Caenorhabditis elegans: one gene and its partners. The protein of the gene in region 1 interacts with the protein of each later gene in a pairwise test. Each region holds a gene or a part of one and is shown in the gene's direction. Other genes may lie near its edges.

Region 1 (4,995 bases):
TGTCTGTCTCTCGTCTCACTCACACATGCGCATCATAGGGCACCGACGCAAAAAAGTGTCAAAAACGATTTATTGTCTTTTCTCGTTCGGTCCTCACCATTGCGCCCCTGTCCTCAATGCGTCGCTTTTTTGTGCGGTCTTCTTCTTGGAATTATTACCGTTTTAATAGGCGTTGAAATTCTGTTGGAGCAGGCTTGAGAGCGGAAATTAGAGTTCATAATTAGTATCTTAGTATCTTATAAGAGTTCATAATTAAATAGTAATCTAATCATTACATCTAAGACTTGAAAAAGAGCCCTCAACTTTTGATCTACCGCAACTCTATTCACCTCTATTAGATTAAAACCAACTCCAATACCCTCCAGGGACTTCCAATCTCTAACCGATAACATCTTTAGTACCGATGTATCATAACACCTGTCACCCATAGACACACACACATATATAGACCCTTCCTGGCCGAGATGAGGGGTACATAAACACATGCGGTAAGACTGTTAACCCCGCCCTCAAAATACTGCTTCTCGGTCTGCGTCTCACCCTTCTAGTTGATGTGGGAGGATCCTTGTAGCTTTTGGGTTCTGATGGGAGATATTCCATGCGGTTCCGGTCAACGCCCTCCACATTAGTTTCACTTTTGTTTTAAGTTTTCAATTTTCACAATTTCATTCTTACCGCAAAATGAGTCATTTTTTGTACGCTATACACATTCTGGTGTTCTGGTAGTACAGGGTGTTGTTGCGTTCAATATTGAAATCGTGAAGTGATGGCAATTTCAGAACTGCTACAAGAGCTTGAGCAGAAATCATTTTCATCTTTACAGAAATTTTCAAACTAGGCATTCTACGCCTTCCTATATTTTTTCCAACACACATTTATATTTTCTTACAATAATTTTTCTCCGCTCTCACAAAAGCTCGAGTTACTTGAATATTCGAAATAGTTTTTTCATGGCTCGTTTTTCTCATTTTATTTTTCTCAAAAGATTGTGCCAGCAATTTTTTCCTTAACAACAAATAACAGTTGTAATTACTCAAAAACATTACCCTCGCAATTTATGGCCACCTTGAAACAGTAATAAAATTTTGTGAAAACACTAATACTTCCAAAGGACCTAGAAAATAGTTTATAAAAATATCCTCAAGTACCGAGAGTTTGTGAAAACATGACGTGAGACTTTAAAGGTGTCTTCTACTCCTCTTGATGGATCTTGCCACAATCTCTATAATAGAATAATGCTTCAAATATAAATTATGAAGCGTATGTAATTTTCACATTCTAAAATGCACAGGAACTATCATGGTAAATTTTGTTACTTTTATTACTTTTTTGCGAACACACTACCGCAAAGTCGGAATCAACAGTAAAACTTTAGATTCGTTGAGATCTTAAAGTTCTTCCTTTGAGATGTTCCTATTAATCCATTAGTTACCGTCACTTTTCCGTTATTACCAGTATAATGACAGAGACAAAACGGGGCGGCGTGCGCGACGGCAAACAGTCATTCCTCTATTACAAGGCCATATCAAATTAGCATAAACACACGTCTCCCGATTCTTTACTATTTTTCATTCTTCAACGGGACGTCGTCTTCTAGTTGAAGATTTCGGAATCTTTTTCTCTAATTGAATCAACATTACGAAGAAGACGATGTCCTTTTCTGCAGTGAAATGAGAAATGAAACGGTCAGATGTCGTCGTGGGGATTTACGGGGCAATGGAGAGACCGGTCTAGTTTTGTGGATGATGGTGATGGTGTTGCCAAAGTGATTGACATTTTTATATGGCAGCAAAAAGGTTATAGAGAGGGACTGGTCTTCTTTTCACACTTAACACTTAACACACCCTTTTTTGGAGGCTTTTTTGAAGTGATTTTGCATACACTATTTTTCTTTTTTTCCAAGTCAACCTCAACTTTATCGTATAATTTGCCATTCTCTTATGAAAATGTGTTATTTTCAATTCATAGTCCCTATTTCAGATGAGCGAACGAATTCGCCGTCGTCGTCTCGAAGCATCGGAGCAATTCGCACCGCAGCTCATCTCATCACGTCGAGCTCAAGGTGGTCTATCGCCTGCTTCGAGAATCCGAATTGCAGCTGATGCTCACAGGCATTCAACATCTGATGATGACAGTGGATGTGCTTTGGACGAGTATGCATGGGTGCCTAGTGGTCTGAAGCCGAATATGGTAAGTATAGAGATTTTGAATGATCTCGTGTGCAATAAAGAACAATTGAATTAGGTTTTTGAACACCAAAACCTAGACCAATTAAAATGTTCACAACCTGTGGACCGTTCAAAACAGATGGTTTTTTGTGCACTTCAAATACTGATTCAAATTCAAATTCAAATTCAAATTCTTACAGGTTCATGCCTACTTCGCCTGTCTCCCGGAAAACAAGGTACCATTCATTGGATCAGCTGGAGAAAAATGGCGACAACGTCAATCACGTTATCAACTACCACCACAGGATTCTGATGTTAGATATTGTGAAGATTTAAATGCAGAAGAAGCGGATACATTGCGAATGTTTGAAAGAACTCGAAAAACTGAATGCCTGGGAAGTGGTGTTGTTCAATATGCTCCATTTGATACAAAATGTGAAAAGGTTAGTATTTTCCATCAAAATTTGTTTGGTTTTATTGAAAAATCGTCACCCGGCCTTATTATGACATTCGACCCATTTGAGCACAACCGTAAATCTTGCCAAACTGTGGCGTATGAAACCATAAACAACATTTTCTTTTTCGTCTTTCCGCACCATCCCCAAAACTCATAAATCTTTATGCGCGAGCGCTCTCTTTCCGCGCACCATCATCTATGCTTATGCTGGGATGCTCCTCATCATCATCTTCACGGCTTCTTTTTTGTCGGGCGGCTTTTTGCCTTTGCATTCCCAACGTGTAGGCACTGTCTTACACTTGAGAATAAACAATGACGGAAATTTGAGAAAGGTCATGCTCATTAACAACGGCGAGGGCCGTCTGCTCTCGGATAGTCCCACTTACGAGAGTGCGGCAAAAAAGTTCTGAAGAATGAGAAGAAGAGGTTGTTGACCTCGATGGGGGAAGCCAGCTGCTTAGGTGTTAGATTTTTGTACGGCATGAGAATAGTTGCAGCAACTTGAAAGGGACAAATGGAATCATGAAAATTCGTCGAAAAATAAACCTTTTTTTTTTAATTTTCTGATATCGTTTTTGAAGGTATCGTCAGTACCGTAAAAAAAGCTTCTATGTATAGTGTTAAAATGTTCAAATAAATTTTTGATTTTATTTTACATACAGTCAAAAAGTGGGAAAAACTCATTTTTCATTACTATAATTTTGGAAGGCGTTCAAAAATACTTTCTACGAGTTTCCAATTTCGTTTTAATCGTTTGTATTTAAACATTTTAGTTGTACGAACCTGCTATTTAAACATTCTAGTAGTACGAAACTATGCTCAAAATTTATTTTTTTAAATTTTAACATTTTTTGAAACAATACACCCATACTTTAACTGAAACTTTGAAAAAACTGAACATTTTTGAAGTATTTAAATTATGATATGTGGTTTTTTGTGTTATAATAAGTGGATTTCGAATAAATCTCCACTGACGATAATTTCATTCAATGGCAACCGACTGTCTGCAATTATTATTGCAACATCTAAATATTGGAGAGAAATAGAGAAACAGAGATAGAGTCATAGACAATATGCAATTATTGTCAATGTTCATCCATCTTTCTTTTACTACGAAGCTCCGGCTGTTTGTCAGAGGAGAAGCTGAGCAGCAGCAGTCACTGCTAATTACCTATGCATCGTTACATGTTTATTAATAGGAGAGACAACGGGGCTCATTGTTGGGGTTAGCTTGGATTTTCGTTTTAGGAATTTAGAATTTTTGCTTTTGAATTTCCAAGGGTTGCTAGGGGTCTAGCTTAAGTTAGTAAATGTAAATGTTATGTACAGTAATATACTCAATTTCCGCTCCTTCTGCTCGTTCTCTTTAGTTTGTTCATTGAGTTATAATCTGATTAGAGCCGTCTCAGTGTTAATCTAATCCGGTCATGGGTAGATGGTAGGTAGATCAAACAAAGCTTCTTCCGATATGCGCGCGCGGGGCGTTTTGATCTAAACACTACTCATAACAAGATTAACAAGGAAAATGAGAAGGAAAGCAAGAAGTCAATTATAGGGTGAAAGAAACAGTATATTTTTGGAAGGGAAGTGCCGAACAGATGGTCTTCCTGGGTGCCATGTTACCATGTCATCAATCACTTTTCTTAGAGGATCCCTCTCATAGTCAGGGGTTTTCGCGCATTTGATACCCTTCGCCCAGTTGGTTGCCCCTCCAAGTATCTGGTTTGAAGACCTGAATTAGGAGACATGGGAACATCTGCCTTTTGTAGACAATTCAGGCAGTGTCATGTTGTTTTCTGAATTGGATGTGTCAGTTCCAATTGTTACCCGTGTGCGTGTCAAGGGTACTTGTTAGTTGTTGATAGTTTACAAGTAATTATCGCCGAATATTGAGGATTAGCTGAGTACAAGAACTTGGAAAACAAAAGTATTGAAGTTGTGAAATAGGTAGGTACGTCTTCACTACCTTTCTACGTGCCTCCCAGGCGTAGGCAGAAGACAGGCAGTTTTTCCCTAGGATTACCCTGTCACGTTTTTCTGTTTAGAGGTGTCTGTTGCCTAATCCATTTCAAAATTTTAGGTGTCTGGTTGTCAGATTAGACGCGAGGTCTTATCAACTTATGGTTGTACATGTCTGTTGTTAATGCGGAGGTTACTTAACTTATAACAGAAGAGAAAATTCACAATGTGCACACTTTAAACAACTGAGAATTTAAATATTTGATTCTTAAAAATAAATTTAAATTACAACTACCAACAAAGATTCTAAGACGGTCAAGAGGGTAGCAGTAGGGGCATACCATCTTGTATTTACATAACTATAGAAACACATGGAGAAACTGAACCACCGGCTGGAGGATGCACTTGACC
Region 2 (5,128 bases), on another chromosome or scaffold:
TTGGATCGCCAAGAACTTGCGTCCTTCCCTCGGAATATTCAACAATCTGAAAATCTGCAATCAGCGCAAACTTTCCCAGCTGTGAATCGAGGAAGGAAACGCCAAATCACTCACGAAAATGCCGATAATGCGAATCCGGCAAAGCGGCCAGACTTGGCAATTCTTTAAGTGTCCAAATTGGAATTACAAACTTAAATTTCAGATGGCGAGTCACTTCATGATGCTGAACATCAGGGACAAACATGTGGTGCAGCGAGCGACGAGAATTCTTCGTTTCTTGGGGTGAATATTTGGTTTAAAAATGAAATAATTACAACATTTATTTTAGGATAAAAGAGTTTATCTTCTCGGATCCAATCGCTCAAAGCGTCGCAAATGAAAGTCGATCGGCCGTCGCGTTCACCGTTTCCCCAAAGGATTCCGCAAAAATTTTGGAAAAAAATCAACGACGAGAACTGGATTGATGTTTTCGATTGCAAGAAAATAAAGGAGCGCAAACAAGAGTTCTTCTGGTACAAGCTGGATCCTCTTGATTTGGCCAAAGCAGTGGCAATGGCTTCACAGTAATTGATTTTTCTCATCTAAATTATAAAATCATTGCTATTTTTCAGAATGAACGACAGAGGAGTCATCCCGTATCCAACACCAACGCTCAATGATGCCCTCAATGACCATGCTGCTTTGATCCGCGCACTGAACGATTCATCGATCAAAAAGTTGTTCAAAGAGGTCAGATTTTTTTGTACCATGAGAAAACGATTCAGCACAATCCGCAATAATCCAATTTCAGTCAAGCGAGAGCCCACCAATTTCTAGTTCAACATCAGAAATTCAAGAAAATAATTTTTAAATTCATTTGTCAAATATCCCATTTTAATTTAAAACCATGTATTATAATATTTCTTTAAACCCCAACCATTGCAAATATGTGTAATTTTTAAAATCTATTCGCTGGTTTGATTGCTTATTGCACCCACTTTTTTATTAAATATGAAAATTCTATTGGTAAAATAAATTTTAACTCTTAAATTTTCCTGTTTTATAAAATTTTCCTGTTTTATTTCCCTTTGTTCTACTTTCAATGCTGTATATCTGACTTTCTGCGGTGTTTAGGTAGATGATTGCTCTTGAATTGACAGGCCGTATCGGAGAGTCTTAAAAGTTTTCATCTGCTAAACCGGTTTGTAGTATGTAAATAGTCCGACAGATCCAAGCTACTGAAATTTTGTTTAACGTGATGTAATTCACATTATTATTATTGAAATTTTAAAAAAACACTATTTTTCTTTGGGTCTGCTAGACTACAAACTACAAAACATATCTAGCAGATAAATTGTCTCATATCGCTCATAGAAGACCCACTACAGTTTAATATTGAACCCTTTCTTCGGCAAAATTGGTCATTCCGGTTGAACACCATATTTAAAATTATTTTTTGAATATCCCGCTGTTTTCCCCTGTCTAGTCTGCATTTGAGCGCCACGGTGTTTGCACAATGTGTCTTCTCCTCTTTCGCGCGCTTGTTTTGAATTGCAATCGCCGTTGGCAGAATTGTTTGTTTTCTCGCTGTTTTGTCGCCTCCGCCTAATTGATTATTCATTCCTTCATACTAATATTATCTTATTATAGTAATTTCAATGTTAATTCCAATATACTCTCAGAAATCAAAAGGTTTTTTAGTTGAAAACGTTCCAAACACGTTATTATCGATTTCTCTCTATTTAGCATCTTCTCTGCACCGCAAAAATCTATTTTAAAAAATTTCTGTCGATATTAATTTTGATAAAACATGTTATTTATTTTCTTTGACCTTCCTTCCTTCTTTTTTCCGCTGCGTATGATTAATTTATTCATTTTCAGTGAAAATGGACGACACAGAGGGTAACTCCTCGATGGATTCCATTCGAAATGGTCAATCAAGTCCACTTCCACAGGTCACTCCACGCTTACCACAAATCCCGATGATGATGCGTGAGACACCACTTTCCACAAAACGTGAGCGCCAAGCAATTACTCCACGTTTCCGTCGTCCAGCTCCGAAAATGATAAAAACTATGCCACCAACAAGAAGCATTTGGTCTGTTCGGAAGGAGTCGGTCCCACTTTTGGTCACTCCGCAGGGTATGTCGAGTTGATTATTTTAAACATTAATTATTTTTGATAAACCCAACACATCTCAAGCATTTTTTCAGGACCAAAACCACTGGAATCGCCAAAGTACGATCATACAAATGCTCAATCATTCTTTGAACAAGTATTTCAAATCGATGAAATCATTGGAAGAGGCTCGTTCGGAGAAGTATTCGCAGCCAGATGCCGTGAGGATTCCCAATTGTATGCTGTCAAAGTATCGTTAGCTCCGATCCGGCAACATTCAATTTCCAAGTACCGAGAAGCTGAGAGCCATATGATCATTCCACCGCATAAGAATCTTGTCAAGTTCTACAGAGCCTGGGAGGAAACTGGTCGATTGTATATTCAAACAGAACTTTGCGATCAAAGTCTTTTGAAATATTGTACAGAGAAACATGCACTACCGGAGGACGAAATTTGGAATATTTTCGTAGATTTGCTCCAAGCTGTTCATCATTTGCACTCGAACGACATGATTCATGATGATATTAAACCGGAAAACATTTTTCTTACAAAGGACATGATATGCAAACTCGGAGATTTTGGTTTGGTTATTAACCTTAAAAATGTAAGTTCATACTTTTTAATATTCTGATTTTATTCAATCGATTTTCAGCCAAATGATGTGAAATCAGCGGAAGAAGGTGACTCGAAATATCTTGCTCCAGAAGTTTTGAACGGCCGTCCCACGAAATCATCAGACATTTTCAGTCTAGGAATGACAATTCTTGAGGCTACTACTGATCTTGACGTTCCATCAAATGGAGATTCGTGGCATCAAATCAGAAATGGACAGATTCCTGATAGATTCTTCGCTGGAATTTCTACAGATCTTCGCAGTTTAATTGCCTTGATGCTTGACTCTGATCCGAGGATTCGTCCAACAAGTCGAGATTTGCTTGATCATCCGGTAATCAAGAAGAAGCTCATGAAGCGTGGAACCTATGTAAAATGCATTTCAATTGTAAGTTATAGTTTTGTGAATGAGGGATTTTGACAATCACTGGTTTCAGCTTAACGGCTTTTTCTACGCCTTCAGTGCTGTTCTTGTCTGGGTAATGGCTTTCTTCTCGGTGCTCTTTCATCCTATTGTTCGCTTCCATGCTGCAATTAAAGACCGGCAATCGGAAATTTGTGCGCAATTTGTCAATGTAATAAGTTTTTTTACCCAAAATTTTATCAACTCGAATTTTTCAGAATCAGCAGCACACTCCCATCCAAACTCCAGAGACTTCTAAAGTTTATTTGGAATCTCTTACTGGAGTGGCTGTTCGCCAAGCATCTCAAATTGTGTCTCCTTTCGATTTTTCCGATGATGAGAATCCACCAAACGCGCAACGCCGTTTGTTCACTGGTGCAGTGCCGTGTCGCTTGAACTTTGATAACGATCAAGATGACGATGAGGAACAGGCGACTTGCTCATCATCAAACTCTTCAGCTATTGAGCCCCAATTGGATGAACCGGAGAGTCCGCCGAGAATGAACGATGTTATTGATAAACTTGGAAAACGGTTGGTTTTGTTGTTAAATATTCAAAAAGTTTCTGGATTCTCTATTACCAACTGCTATTTTTCAGAGGAACTCCAAGATCAGCTCGTCGTAATCTCACTTTCAACCGTCATCGTCAAGTAGCCGCGTCAGTTGCACCGAAATCGTCGCTAAATCATTATAATCATCACACTGGATCTGGAGATGGATTTAGTAATAACTCTCTAATTCCAATTAGTGATCAAGAACGAACGGAAAAATATCTCCGAATGCGACTCACCGAGCAACAGTTAGATTGGGCAGATCAGAATAATGTGATCGACGAGGCTCCACCACCAATGTCTTGTCCGCCAAGAATCCGAAGAAGCATTCGTGATCTACCGAGAATGCCTGTTCTCAACTTTAACGTTCTCGACGAGCCATCGAATAAACCGACTGTTGATCATCATACGATTTTGGAGCAATCGGAATCGCCACGTAGAAGATTAAATAGAGGGGCTAAGCCTGTGCCTCGTAATAGAATGGTTAGTAGTTTTACGCTAAATGATTTTTATTAAATGTTTTTTTTCCAGATGTCATTTGGATCATCAGGCGACGAGGTTTAATAATGCACAAAAATCAGAAAAATTGTTGAATATTTATTTTTTGCATTTATTAGCATCTCGTACTTTTCTTACTTTTTCTCATCCCATCATCACTTCCCCTAGGTTTTATGCCTGTTTACAGTAGTCCTTCTCACTAGTTATTGATTGATTTCTTTTCCCCCTTGACGACCATCTCTTCACAAATGTGTCATTACTCGAATTTTATTTACTATTTCTTCTGGGTGCTTATTTTCTGGTATTTTTGTACGTCTTTTTGTAAAATCTTTCCCCCTCTCGACCATATCGCACTACCATTATCACACAGACACACAACTTGTCATTATGTCCTTCTTTTCTGAAATTGAAGATAAAACGTATTTTATCTGAACTACGTATATTTTTTTAATTTCTCCATTTCATACAGAATCCAAATTTATTCGAATTGAATAAAGTAGGTACCAACCGATTACACATATGTCTGGTGTAATATAAACTCGAGAGGGTCTTGAGAGAAAACCTGTTCTTGTAGTACTGGAGGTAGGACAGTACAAAAAAATTTCCCACAGCTTTTGATAGCCATTTTGATTTATTTCGATAGGAATATTAATTACTTCTTAAACTACACAAAAAAACAAAAAAAAAAACTATAGAAAACATCGTAAAACCTACTTCCTTTATCAAAAGTTTATATATTGTTTTAACTTTTACTTACAACAGAACAGCAATAATTTGACTATAAAAACCGTCATTAAAAAATCTCGTACCCTCAGAATTTAAAAAGAAATTACAAGTGCTTCTATATGCATTTTGAAAAAAAGACACCACCGCCTCGATAGCTCAGTTGGGAGAGCGCACGACTGAAGATCGTGAGGTCACCAGTTCGATCCTGGTTCGGGGCAACGTTTTTTGTGCATTTGTTTAAT
Region 3 (5,905 bases), on another chromosome or scaffold:
CTTACTCCAATCTGGGATCCAGCTGAATCAAAGCAATCAAATTGATAACCGGAGCAGGAGGAAGTCACATCTGAACAAAATTGATTTAGATACCTTAAACTAATATAAAAATTTACCATTATCATTGTACTCTCTGTTGTAGGCGAAGCAGAATGGTGGATTGTTGTACTTGCGGTTTTTCTTGATAACCAGAGTCAGACCCTAAAACATAGACAAGTTCCTGTAAAAGTTGCACATTTCAATAATACCTGTATCATGGAAACGGCAAGAATAAGGAAGAGAGCAAGCGAGACGGCGTTCATCGTTTTGACACAACTGGCTGAATGATGCTATCCCGACGCGTTTTCGACGACTTTCCCACACAAGCTGTTCAAACCATTTTCGTTTTTATATTTCGTGGCACATGCAAGTTAACACGTATTTGAACATCTGAAGCAACCGAGTTCGTTGGCTGCAAAAATTGACTCATTAGATCAAACATCGGCGCTTGTAAAAAATCGTGTTTACCAATTTGGGACGGAAATGGAGAATTGCTGATGGAAAAGTTTCCCAATTAGTGTTTCTAATGTTTTTTTTAGATTTCTAAGTACTGTAATCGACCGAGAAGCTAAAAACACAGCGGGTGTTATCGCTTTTCTTTATTGGTAATGAATGCAAGTTATGTAAATTCGTGTGAGAAATAAATTAAAATGCTATTTTTGGATTAGAAATTTCGACTGGAAAGTTAATAACAAAAGCAAAATTAAACAGGAATATACGGTATTATAAAATGTCCATTTTAACCTGAAATGTAAAAATTTAAGGGACACTATAAAAAAAACCGTGTTTTTTTGTGGTGTTCATAATAGGGGTTGACTGATTGGATATCTGACTAACATTTTTAAAAAATTTTACGATGAAACTATGAGGTTTAGAAAAAAAGCTTTCTAAGCGACTTCAACCTCCCGCAACGTCTTGGAATCTTACGATATTTGTTGCTACTATACTTCAAGAACAAAGATAATAATCAAAACAAAACAAAATTAGCTTACAATTAAACTCTTTTTTTTCCATTGAACATGATGTCTATTATTTGCTCTCCCAACAACACTACCAATTGCAAAATTGAATGTTTTGCAGTGTCAAATTTTAATTTTGAACAGTGGTGTGTTTTGAAATGAATAGTTTGTTGTTCCTTGTTTTATTCACGCAACACTTTCTCTTTTTGCTCGTCGTATTTTTTAATCAAAGCGACGTTATTTTTAGTCTCAAGTTTGTGTCTGTGCTCATCTTATTATTTCTTACCAATTTGAATGAATAATGCATAAAACGTTTTTTGTTGTCGTTGAGGATTTAATTTTCTTTAATAAATTTCAAAAAAGTAATGCAATCATGTTTAACAAAATTTTAAATACACATCTTTCTAAAAAGGTTATCATAATTACAGCTCACCAAGTGTATTAATGTATGTAGTATAATTTATTACGTTTCACACTTGCAAAAAACTTTTTAACACATCACCATTAGACTTTTCTCTGAAAAATATATAACAAATTCTATATCAGTAATCCATTTAGACGTCTAGTCTTATTTCCATTTCCGAATAAAATCACCATTAATCTTTCGGGTAATGTTATTTTAAAAAAACTTATATTTTTGGGCTATTTGTTTTACTAAAAAAATACTGTTATGTTTTTGCCCTACCGAAAAAAACCTTTTTTAAGACCATTTTTACACTAATTTTTCAGCAGTATTTCAAAAAGAAGAAGACAATCAAATCGGATATTCTTATTCTCCAAAACTAGACAAATGTTCGTTGTTTTTTCTCTATTTTGAAAACGAAAAGTGTGTTACTTTTCTTGTGTCTCATCCGTATGTCTTTCTTTTTGTGTACTCATTGCAATTCAGAGACAAGACCCACACATTGGGTGTGTCAATGCAGTGGCTGCTGACGCGTTTCTCGTGCGTGCGCTTCTTTTGTCTTCACTTTATTCAATTACTCACCACGAGCTCATTGTTATTGTTTATTGTGTTTAGAAAATACGATTTCCCATAAGAGTCGTTATATTTTCATTCATTATTCTTCTTCTTATTATTATTATTATTAGAAAATATATTTTAAGCTTTTTTTGTAAGTTTTTCAGAAAAATACTATTGGGTTGCTTAAAAATAACAGTTAAAATGTTTACATCCACTGCATGACTCCAAAAATCAATGTGATACTTTATCAAGCTCCTATTCAAAGCACTCAAACTCAATAATAAAAAATATGTGCACTTTTTTTAAAAATATGATTGCTCGTAACAAACTTCTCTTCAAAAGTGTAACATGCCATCATTTTACCAGAAAAAAAAAACGAAATCCAAAAAAATTGGAGGACGGATGTTGAGAAAGATGAACGACCTCTTGCGTTTTGTTGCACGCATCTTTCCCCCCATTTTCGCTTCTTTTTCAAAAATTCTCTCCTTTCCCACTTGTTCCGTCATTTTTCGTTTCCTTTCCCTTCACGACTCGCGCAGTCTCGCATCGATTTTCCGCTAGGGGCCCTCCCCTCCTCACCGCCATCTTCTTTACCAGCAGCCCCGTTTTCCAGTAATTTCGTCCGTCGTAGTCGGGGCACCCCTCACAGATCCGTTCGAACAGCTTCCATTCTTTTGTTTTTTCTCGCACTTTTGTGAATAATTTTGATAAACTTCAGATTGTTGAAAACTCAGTATGGATTTTAACTTCAAAAAGATAGCCAGTGATGCTGGAGGATTCTTTAGCAGAGCTAAGCAGGTTGGTCATTTTTTTACGAATTCCTTCGAAATCCCATACATTTAAAATTCAATTTCCAGCTCACCGAAGAAACATTCCTGAAAGCAGAGCGCACCGAACTGGACTCCCACTTTGAGAACCTTCTACAGCGAGCCGACAAGACAGAAGATCATACTCGCCGTCTCCTCTCTGCAATTGAGGGTTATTTGCAGCCAAATCCCAGTTAGTATTCACGAAAAAGATATTATGTTTTGCAAAAAGACCTGAGAAATGAACTTATCTATTGCAGCCGTTCGCATGGAAGAAGTATTCTATGAAAAATTGGAATTGAAAAAGGATGGTGCTATTCGGCAAAATAATCTCGAGCAGTTGTCAACAGCGATGACCGAAGCTGGAGAGCAGTTCGGAGAGACCACTCCATATGGTTAGTTATTTAATTTGTTTCCTCATAAGACATATAATACTCAATAATTTCAGGATCTGCACTCCTCAAAGTGGCTCAAACGGAAAACCGACTTGGGCAAGCGGAACGGGAATTGTGTGGACAAGCGGCCACAAATACTTTGCTCCCTATTAGAAGATTCTTGGAAGGCGACATGAAAACAATTCAGGTGAGAGACTCCTCTTTTCCAAGCTGCACTATTCATGAGCTCTTGCTAAAAAAATTTAGTAAATGCATTTCAAATTATTCTTGCCCTCAGGCCAGCTGCGCCATAAATATATTTCCGCTTTCAATAAAAATATCTAATTCAGAAAGAAAGAAAAGTGCTGAACAGCAAGCGTCTCGATTTGGATGCATGTAAAAGCCGACTCAAGAAAGCAAAAACTGTAGATCTTCAGACAGTGGTGAGTGATTTTTTTCTTAATTTGTGAAAAATTAATTTTCTAAAAATAAAAATCTAAAAAAGAAAGTAACTGTTTCAGACGAATAGTAAAACCTCTGGAGGGTTTACAATTGAGCAGGTTTGTTTCAGAAATGTTGTAACACTGTTGGTTTTCATTATTGTCTGGTTATTCCTCCCGTTTCTATGTACTTTATAAACTTTTAGTTACATATCTAAACATTATATTTTGAAACTTTTGAAACGTTTCACAAGTTTCAGGCAGAGGCGGACGTGCGTGTTGCTCAAGCAGAGTTTGACAAGCAATCAGAGATTACCAAATTGTTGCTAGAAGGAATTCAAACCGCACACGTTAGTTTTTTAAATGGGATTTTTCCAATTTAAAATGTATAAAAATTTTCAGAACAATCAGTTGAAGTGTCTTCGTGATTTTGTCGAGGCACAAATGTCTTTCTATGCTCAGTCTCATCAACTCATGGCCGATTTGCAGCGGGAATTGAGCGGGTAAGTCTCTCTTTCAAAATTAGGCTCATTAGTTTTCATGTCGCATGCGTCTCCCGCTAGCAATTCATTTGGTAGCCACTGCTTTTTTTATTTCGTTGTAGTGAATGTACGTGTCATGCAAATATTTCAGTTCTCTCGCCGATTCACCGATGTACTACGGAAACCGACACGACGAGTGACTCCCGAACTTTGATTTTATGTTTGCCACTCGTGATTGTGATCTTGACTCCCTATTTATTTCAAATTTAATCGATTTTGATTATATATTATTTTTTCTCTCTCCTCTTTCTCTTTCTTTTTACTTAACATTACTTCCTTCTGAGTAATCCAGTGTCATTCAAATTCGCCAAGAAATTCAATATTAGCTCAAGTTTTCGATATTCTTAAATTTTCAATGTATTCTGTATGTATTATATTGTAATGTATTTCATATTTTAACAGCTCCCGGTCATTTCCACCAATCGATAAGCATAATTAGTATGTTTAATTTTTTTCTTCTTACTCTCAATTCTCCCCCCAACCGCCGTTGATCGGCTTCTTCTAGTCACAGTTGCTGTGTGAATGTCTTAGTATGTGTGACACAACGACGAAACGCGATTTGAACTCAAATAAATGTTTCTCTATTCTGCCAAACTTTTTTCATTGTCCCCAGATTTAAGGAAATTGCTTTCAGCACCATGTCATTTCGCGGAAGCTCGGCAATACTGGTGAACAATAGTGGCGACCCGCCAAACGGAAGGACTATGGCGGCGGCAATAGCGGCGGCCAAGGTTAGTTGGGGAAGAACTTCGTGGAAAGCGTTGTTTCCGTTCCAGTGATTTTCAATTATTTCCCATCACGAACATCTCTTCAAATTACTGATTTTCCAGCCAAGTGGCCTACTGCCGGATGACTTGGGAACCAAGCAAGCCAAAGTGATCATGGACTACGATGCAGTGCTGCCACAAGAGATCAGCGTCACCCAGAATGATGTGAGTCTTGAGAGGAGGACCCCTATTGAAACCAAATATTGTGTGAAATTACGTCTGCTCTTGTTGCAGATTCTCATCGTGTATCGCCTTCCTGGAATGGATGCGGAATATGTGATGGCTGAAAAAGGAGGAAAACGCGGAAAATTGCCTGTCAGCTATATTGAGCTGCTCTAGAAACGCTGCATTCATTAATTTATTGTCTTAGTACTTTGTTCATGTGCCAAAAATGTTTTAGTAAGGTGTCTTATTTATTGTGGAAGATCTCAATTGAAATGTGTCTATTTATTTGACTCCTCAAATGCGCTTATTATTGTATAGGTTATTTAGATTTAAAATAAATGGGAAATTTAAAGATCAAAAATTCGTTAACAATATTGAACACAATATAAAAAGTTTAGTTTTGAAGAAAACTCTCAAATCTCTTCTACGATTGCTGTTTTAGATAATGATAGAACCAACCCTTTGTGAAAATCTTCTGGTTTTCAAACTTCAAATAGAGTTTCCTAAAAGAAAATTGCATTTTTCTCAAATCTTTTTCAGTGATTTTGTTGTAATTTAGACGAAAATTGGTAATTTGAACATCATAGAAATGATTCTTAATCATTTTTTCATTTATATCTTCATTGCATATACTCATTGTGTAAAAGGAAATAATATAAAACTACTTTATGTAATGGCAATAATATTACCGAAATGTACAAATAGTTTGCGTGAAGTCGAAAAAGAAAGACATGGTCAGAAATGAGTTCGTTTAGGCGATCGATCGCTTTGCCTTGCGGTTGGTGTATCTGTATCTAAGACAGCAGGTCTGCTCGGCGCACTTGACGTATCCGCGTTGGCATACGCATTGGT
Region 4 (4,665 bases), on another chromosome or scaffold:
ACTTGAACTTTTGCGTTTGGCCATGGAAAGATTGGCGAGGCAGGAGGGGGGACAAAAGGAGGCCTGTTTTGCATATTACCTTGAGAAACGTCGGGTACGACAAGCATAGCATTTTTTGGGTAGTTTTTTCTGAGAGTGATTGTAGGGCTTTTTTGGAAGTCCTTTGAAACCAGTATATATATATATATTTTAGTCAGCTTTAGGTTTTTTTTTTTTTTTTTCGGGCCAAGGCAGATGGTGAAGTTAAGGCTAAAATATATGTCAGGGCCAAAAAGTGGAGACCCAGAAAGTTGAGCCTTCAAAAACTAAGCCATTTAGGCTAACTTTTACTTTCTTTATTTAGGCATTTAGGCGGTTGAGCCCTTGAAAGCCGCATCTCCATTTTTTCCGCTCCTTGAGGTTAGGCTTATTTTAAAATCCTTGAGGTCAGGCTTATCATCCTTCAAAGTTTGAGACCAAGAAGGTTAAGCCCCGTAGTTGAAGGATAATTCTGAGCCCACGAACGCCAAGCCCCAAAGAAGCCCAAAGTAATGGCTGGGCACCTGAAGTCTAAGCCTTTAGGCTGCGCTCTTAGCTTAATGCCCTTCTTCAAAAACTGAGTCCCTCGGTACAGACTAAGCTTTTAGGTTACCCTTTAGCTTTTAGGCAAGCTCGGGCCTAATTTCAGGCTTAGCTTCAGACTCAAAATTACGAGATTTCCCTCAACGTAATTCGAAAAAAATTGATTAGACTAGGTATCTCGCGCCGTGCGTATTGTTGTAAACTCTTCATTTTTCGCTCATCAATATCTCCGAAAACCCCGGGACCCCGAGGTCTATCCTAGATAGCAAGATACGCAGACGCACACATGTGTATACATATGCTATTGGGCGAGAAATAGCGTCTCTTCTTTTTCTTCTTCTCTTGGGAGCTACTTTTCGAGGTCCGAGCTGCTGCAGCTCGAGCTGGGTGCTCGAGCTGACCGCGGACCCCACTTCTCGTGACCGCCTATCTTGTTTTTTTCTGTGTTGCTGTTCTCGGATAAATTTGGGATTGGAATGTTTCTTTGGGGTCTAGCCTGTTTCAACGGAAATAAGTGAAAAATTGTTTGCTGATTTTCTTAATTTTTTCACTATTTGCTGATGCTATTTTTGTAAATTCGGTAGCTGAAAATTTCTGGTACCTGGTAACCGTGAACTATACCATATGGAAAAGTTTGAAAATTGGAGGTTTTAGGCCATTTTCGGCTATTAAACTTTTTCCGATTTTTCGAATAATCTAGCACGTTTTAGCGAAATGTTTTTTTTTTGATTAAGCTTGATTTTTTCTATTAATTTCTCAATTTTGCAATAATTTTCTCCACCTTTTTTCAACCTCCCATAGCACTCCAAATACTCTGCTCTTCCACAAAAAATTTACCCCCCCCTCCTGAGCCCCCACAATTATACCTATGCTTCCTTCCGCCTCCCGGTGCCATGAGCACCAACCACAAATTGCTCTCCATTTTTGCTCCACGACACGCCCAACCGTCAACAGCTTAGATTACTGTTTTTGTTCCTATTTACGAACTAAAGTTTTCAATTTTTTTCTCCTTCTCGTTTGTTCGGATCTTTTTTGTGCTGCTCATTGCTGTTAACGTTTTGAGTTTTTTTTCAGACTTCAACTCGAAAAAGTTCCAATTAGTGTTCATAAAAAGAAGGAATCGAGATTGGATTGGATGGTAACAACCTTTTGAAGAAGCGGCGAACAATGAACGACAGTTGCAGTTGGGACCAGCTATGGGTAAGTTTTTATTGAATCCTTGGTAAAAACTAAAATTTAAAATAAGAAAACAGGCTACTAAAATGAAAAAACCGCGGGTCTAAAAAAATGGCCAAAATCACCAAATGTTGAGCTGAATTTTTTACGATTCTAAACCGTGAATCCTCCTTTTTTCCTAGTTCAACATTTCAAAAAATCTACTGATTAAAAGTATGTACATATGTGCCTAAAATTGTAATGTTATGCACTTCACACTGTGAAAAGGTTAGAAGGTTTCCACCAAAATGAGAAAAATGGCACGAAACTTCAGATTTTCAAAATTGGGCGCTGCTTCAAATTGCTGAACTTTTAAAAAATATGTCAAAGTTCCAAGATACCAGGATTATGCCTAATTTGGAAAAAATTGGAAATATAAAATTTTTCCAAATTCTGTTACAGCTCTAAAGCACCCACGCCACGAATTTCCAGAACCTAGAATTTTTCGAGACCGCCGCAGTTTCAAAACTCCAAAATTTGACGAAATTCCGGGCCCAACCACTTTAAGGATTATTTTCTGGGAATATGCAAAAATAGGGATTTCAATTGATATCATGGCAAGACGTCCGCAGGGTTTTGCGCCGCACTATATTTTATTTGCAATTGCCTGGGTGGGGCGCGAAACCCGTTAGATGTCGGACCATAATATCATTTGTATCGATATTGGGGTACTGATACTGGCATGATCACAGATGGGCGGTCCCGATACTTTTTGAAATTCGGTAAAATTCCGAAATTTCTAAAGTTCGGATGAATTTGAAATTTGGCGTTTGCCAACTTCTAGTGCAATTTTATAGTTTCGATGTGGAAAATCCTTGGATTTTTCTCAAATTTTTAATAAAATCTAATGATCCCCCCCCTCCCCCCCACCAAACATTTCTACTCGTTCCTACATACATTTTCGCATATCACATATACCTTCTCGTCTCCCGCATACATAATTTAGTAGTTGTAAGCAAGATCGGGGGGTGGCGGGCGATCACAAAGTAACGGCGGAAGCGGCTCACCCACCCTCCGAACACACTTGAATTAGTCATTTGTTGCTAATGTAGAGGTGGATACTAATAAGGAGTGGCGGGAGGTGTATAGAGAGAGTGAAAGAGAGAGAGAGAGAGAGAGAGAGAGACGCAGAATTAAAAAACAGGGTTACCTAGTGGGTTTGCTGGGCGCACGTTAGTATGTTTTGGTAAATGCGCTCTAATTTTAAAATTCAAAAATGGAGTGGAAATTTCTATAATATATTTTAAAAACATTTTTTTTTATTAAATTGGTCCGTTCACACTGATTATGCCTACTTTTTTAAGACGTTGTATTTTTAAAAATTGATTTCAAAAAAATTAATTTTCTACTCTCTCTCAAAAACTTCTCTTAAAAACTACAAAATCCGATTTTTTTTTCGCCAAAGTTTCTTATCAGTTTACAGAAAAATTGTGAACATTTCAGAAATGCCAGTATGACACATCTTTTTGAACATATCAGTTTGTGCTTGAATTTGATTCAGAAAAACAGCAAAATTTTTTTTCTTTCAAATTTTCCCAATACTTCAGCCAGTTTTTTGTCGTTTATAACAGTAATCTACCGCAGAGATACAAGCTTATAGAACTTAAAGCCGAGAGAGTGTGGGACGAGGGGAGAGTGCAGACTGTCTTCAATTTCTAGTGCTCAAAATTTGAGAGCATGTAACTTGAGAAATGAATTCTGAAAATTGGATTTTCTATCGATTTACTCTTTAAATTTTCAATTAGGGCTCCCATGTGGGTGCCGCAAACGCCGCCCTCACGCCGGGATCCGAAATCTTAATAGCAATGCGCGAAACCCAAAAAATGTCGGATCGCGGCGCCTACATGGGAGCCCTGGTTTTAATATAATAATGGTTCCGAACAGTTTTATTAATAAAATTGCACAAACTTTCTGATCGTCGGTTCTCCGCTCTTTCCTTATCGTTCACTTCTCGCCAATTTAATAGGCAAAAGCGGTAGTTGGGGAAGGGCGGAAAGCGCAAATAAACACAGCTTCACTCTCTTTTTCTCCCTTTTTCGGCACCAAAATCGTACTTTCTGTGATTGTATTTGTGTTTAGCAGGGAATTATCAATAAGATTAGAAGGTTTTTTAAAAAGAAAATTTTTTGTGGGGTCCCTGTAACCTTGGATGTAATTTTATAACATGGTGCATCGACTGAAAACTACACTAGCAATTTTTAAGTTTACGGTTGAAACTTGTCACTTTTACATACATATTAAGGGTTATCAGTATATTATTCATTCAAAATTTGTGCTAGTAAAGTGAAATTTTTTCTCTGTTTGAAAAAATATGATAAAATGCCAAAAAGAACGTCATTTCCTATGACAAATTTTGTCCGATGCACCATGTTCAAAAAATTTCTTTGGCTCTCACATATTTTTCAGGTTTTACCGCCAAACTTATCGGACTTTTCCAGTCGATGCACCATGTTCGGATTTATTTTTCTAGACAAAATTATTGCTGCTCCTTCAAAAAATATCGATTTTTTTACCTGATGCACCATGTTCAAGTTTTCTGAGAAAAATTTCTGTAATAGTCGAAAAGTTACCGAGAACATTTCAAAACGAAAATGTCATTCTGCTTCCGTTCCCCATTCCCCCCTACTTCTTCAGCCTTACTGTCAATCCATTTCAATTCTACAACCATTTTTCTTCATCTCCCCTCATTTTCCCTTCCTCCTCCCCCTTCTAACTTCTTCTTCTTCTTCTAGTCGCGTCGTCAATCGGTGTTGGGGTCGACAATTCATTGTATATGTAGATCACATTGCATTCGGATTGCGCCCTTCCGTCCTGGCGATAGTTTCTAGGACGCCGCGCCTTGGACACTCACCGCACCTTTTTTCTGCAAAGTTTGAGTTTTTGCTTGGG

The links.
Region 2: the proteins of prkl-1 (region 1) and wee-1.3 interact in a two-hybrid assay, tested with the Caenorhabditis elegans proteins (one large-scale study listed by BioGRID).
Region 3: the proteins of prkl-1 (region 1) and F35A5.8 interact in a two-hybrid assay, tested with the Caenorhabditis elegans proteins (one large-scale study listed by BioGRID).
Region 4: the proteins of prkl-1 (region 1) and toca-1 interact in a two-hybrid assay, tested with the Caenorhabditis elegans proteins (one large-scale study listed by BioGRID).

What each region holds. Positions count from the first base shown.
Region 1 is NC_003282.8:6,983,921-6,988,915, reverse strand, and holds the start of prkl-1 (LIM zinc-binding domain-containing protein), read left to right. Parts: upstream 1-1,980; coding exon 1,981-2,190; intron 2,191-2,368; coding exon 2,369-2,611; intron 2,612-2,706; exon of another isoform or gene 2,707-3,140; intron 3,141-3,581; exon of another isoform or gene 3,582-3,733; intron 3,734-4,006; exon of another isoform or gene 4,007-4,160; intron 4,161-4,368; exon of another isoform or gene 4,369-4,719; intron 4,720-4,844; exon of another isoform or gene 4,845-4,995.
Region 2 is NC_003280.10:9,713,200-9,718,327, reverse strand, and holds wee-1.3 (Membrane-associated tyrosine- and threonine-specific cdc2-inhibitory kinase wee-1.3), read left to right. Parts: upstream 1-1,860; 5' UTR 1,861-1,865; coding exon 1,866-2,121; intron 2,122-2,192; coding exon 2,193-2,701; intron 2,702-2,749; coding exon 2,750-3,097; intron 3,098-3,146; coding exon 3,147-3,284; intron 3,285-3,330; coding exon 3,331-3,644; intron 3,645-3,709; coding exon 3,710-4,145; intron 4,146-4,193; coding exon 4,194-4,226; 3' UTR 4,227-4,591; downstream 4,592-5,128. Other genes in the region: Y53C12A.11 (PRE_C2HC domain-containing protein), read left to right, coding at 1-156, 203-282, 329-464; Y53C12A.6 (uncharacterized protein), read left to right, coding at 553-563, 612-729, 791-850. UniProt on the Caenorhabditis elegans protein: Acts as a negative regulator of entry into mitosis (G2 to M transition) by phosphorylation of the CDK1 kinase during oocyte maturation.
Region 3 is NC_003284.9:3,799,542-3,805,446, reverse strand, and holds F35A5.8 (SH3 domain-containing GRB2-like protein B1), read left to right. Parts: upstream 1-1,982; 5' UTR 1,983-2,110; intron 2,111-2,555; exon of another isoform or gene 2,556-2,667; intron 2,668-2,675; exon of another isoform or gene 2,676-2,677; 5' UTR 2,678-2,694; coding exon 2,695-2,757; intron 2,758-2,816; coding exon 2,817-2,958; intron 2,959-3,025; coding exon 3,026-3,160; intron 3,161-3,213; coding exon 3,214-3,347; intron 3,348-3,489; coding exon 3,490-3,582; intron 3,583-3,660; coding exon 3,661-3,699; intron 3,700-3,839; coding exon 3,840-3,929; intron 3,930-3,981; coding exon 3,982-4,082; intron 4,083-4,212; coding exon of another isoform or gene 4,213-4,261; exon of another isoform or gene 4,262-4,715; intron 4,716-4,755; coding exon 4,756-4,852; intron 4,853-4,951; coding exon 4,952-5,053; intron 5,054-5,122; coding exon 5,123-5,227; 3' UTR 5,228-5,402; downstream 5,403-5,905. Other genes in the region: F35A5.2 (uncharacterized protein), read right to left, coding at 6-70, 117-201, 249-302; abu-10 (Activated in Blocked Unfolded protein response), read right to left, coding at 5,805-5,905.
Region 4 is NC_003284.9:1,518,458-1,523,122, reverse strand, and holds the start of toca-1 (Transducer of Cdc42-dependent actin assembly protein 1 homolog), read left to right. Parts: upstream 1-1,635; 5' UTR 1,636-1,728; coding exon 1,729-1,761; intron 1,762-4,665. UniProt on the Caenorhabditis elegans protein: Plays a role in protein trafficking, actin organization and embryonic morphogenesis. Potentially acts as a cdc-42 effector. May play a role in hypodermal P-cell nuclear positioning.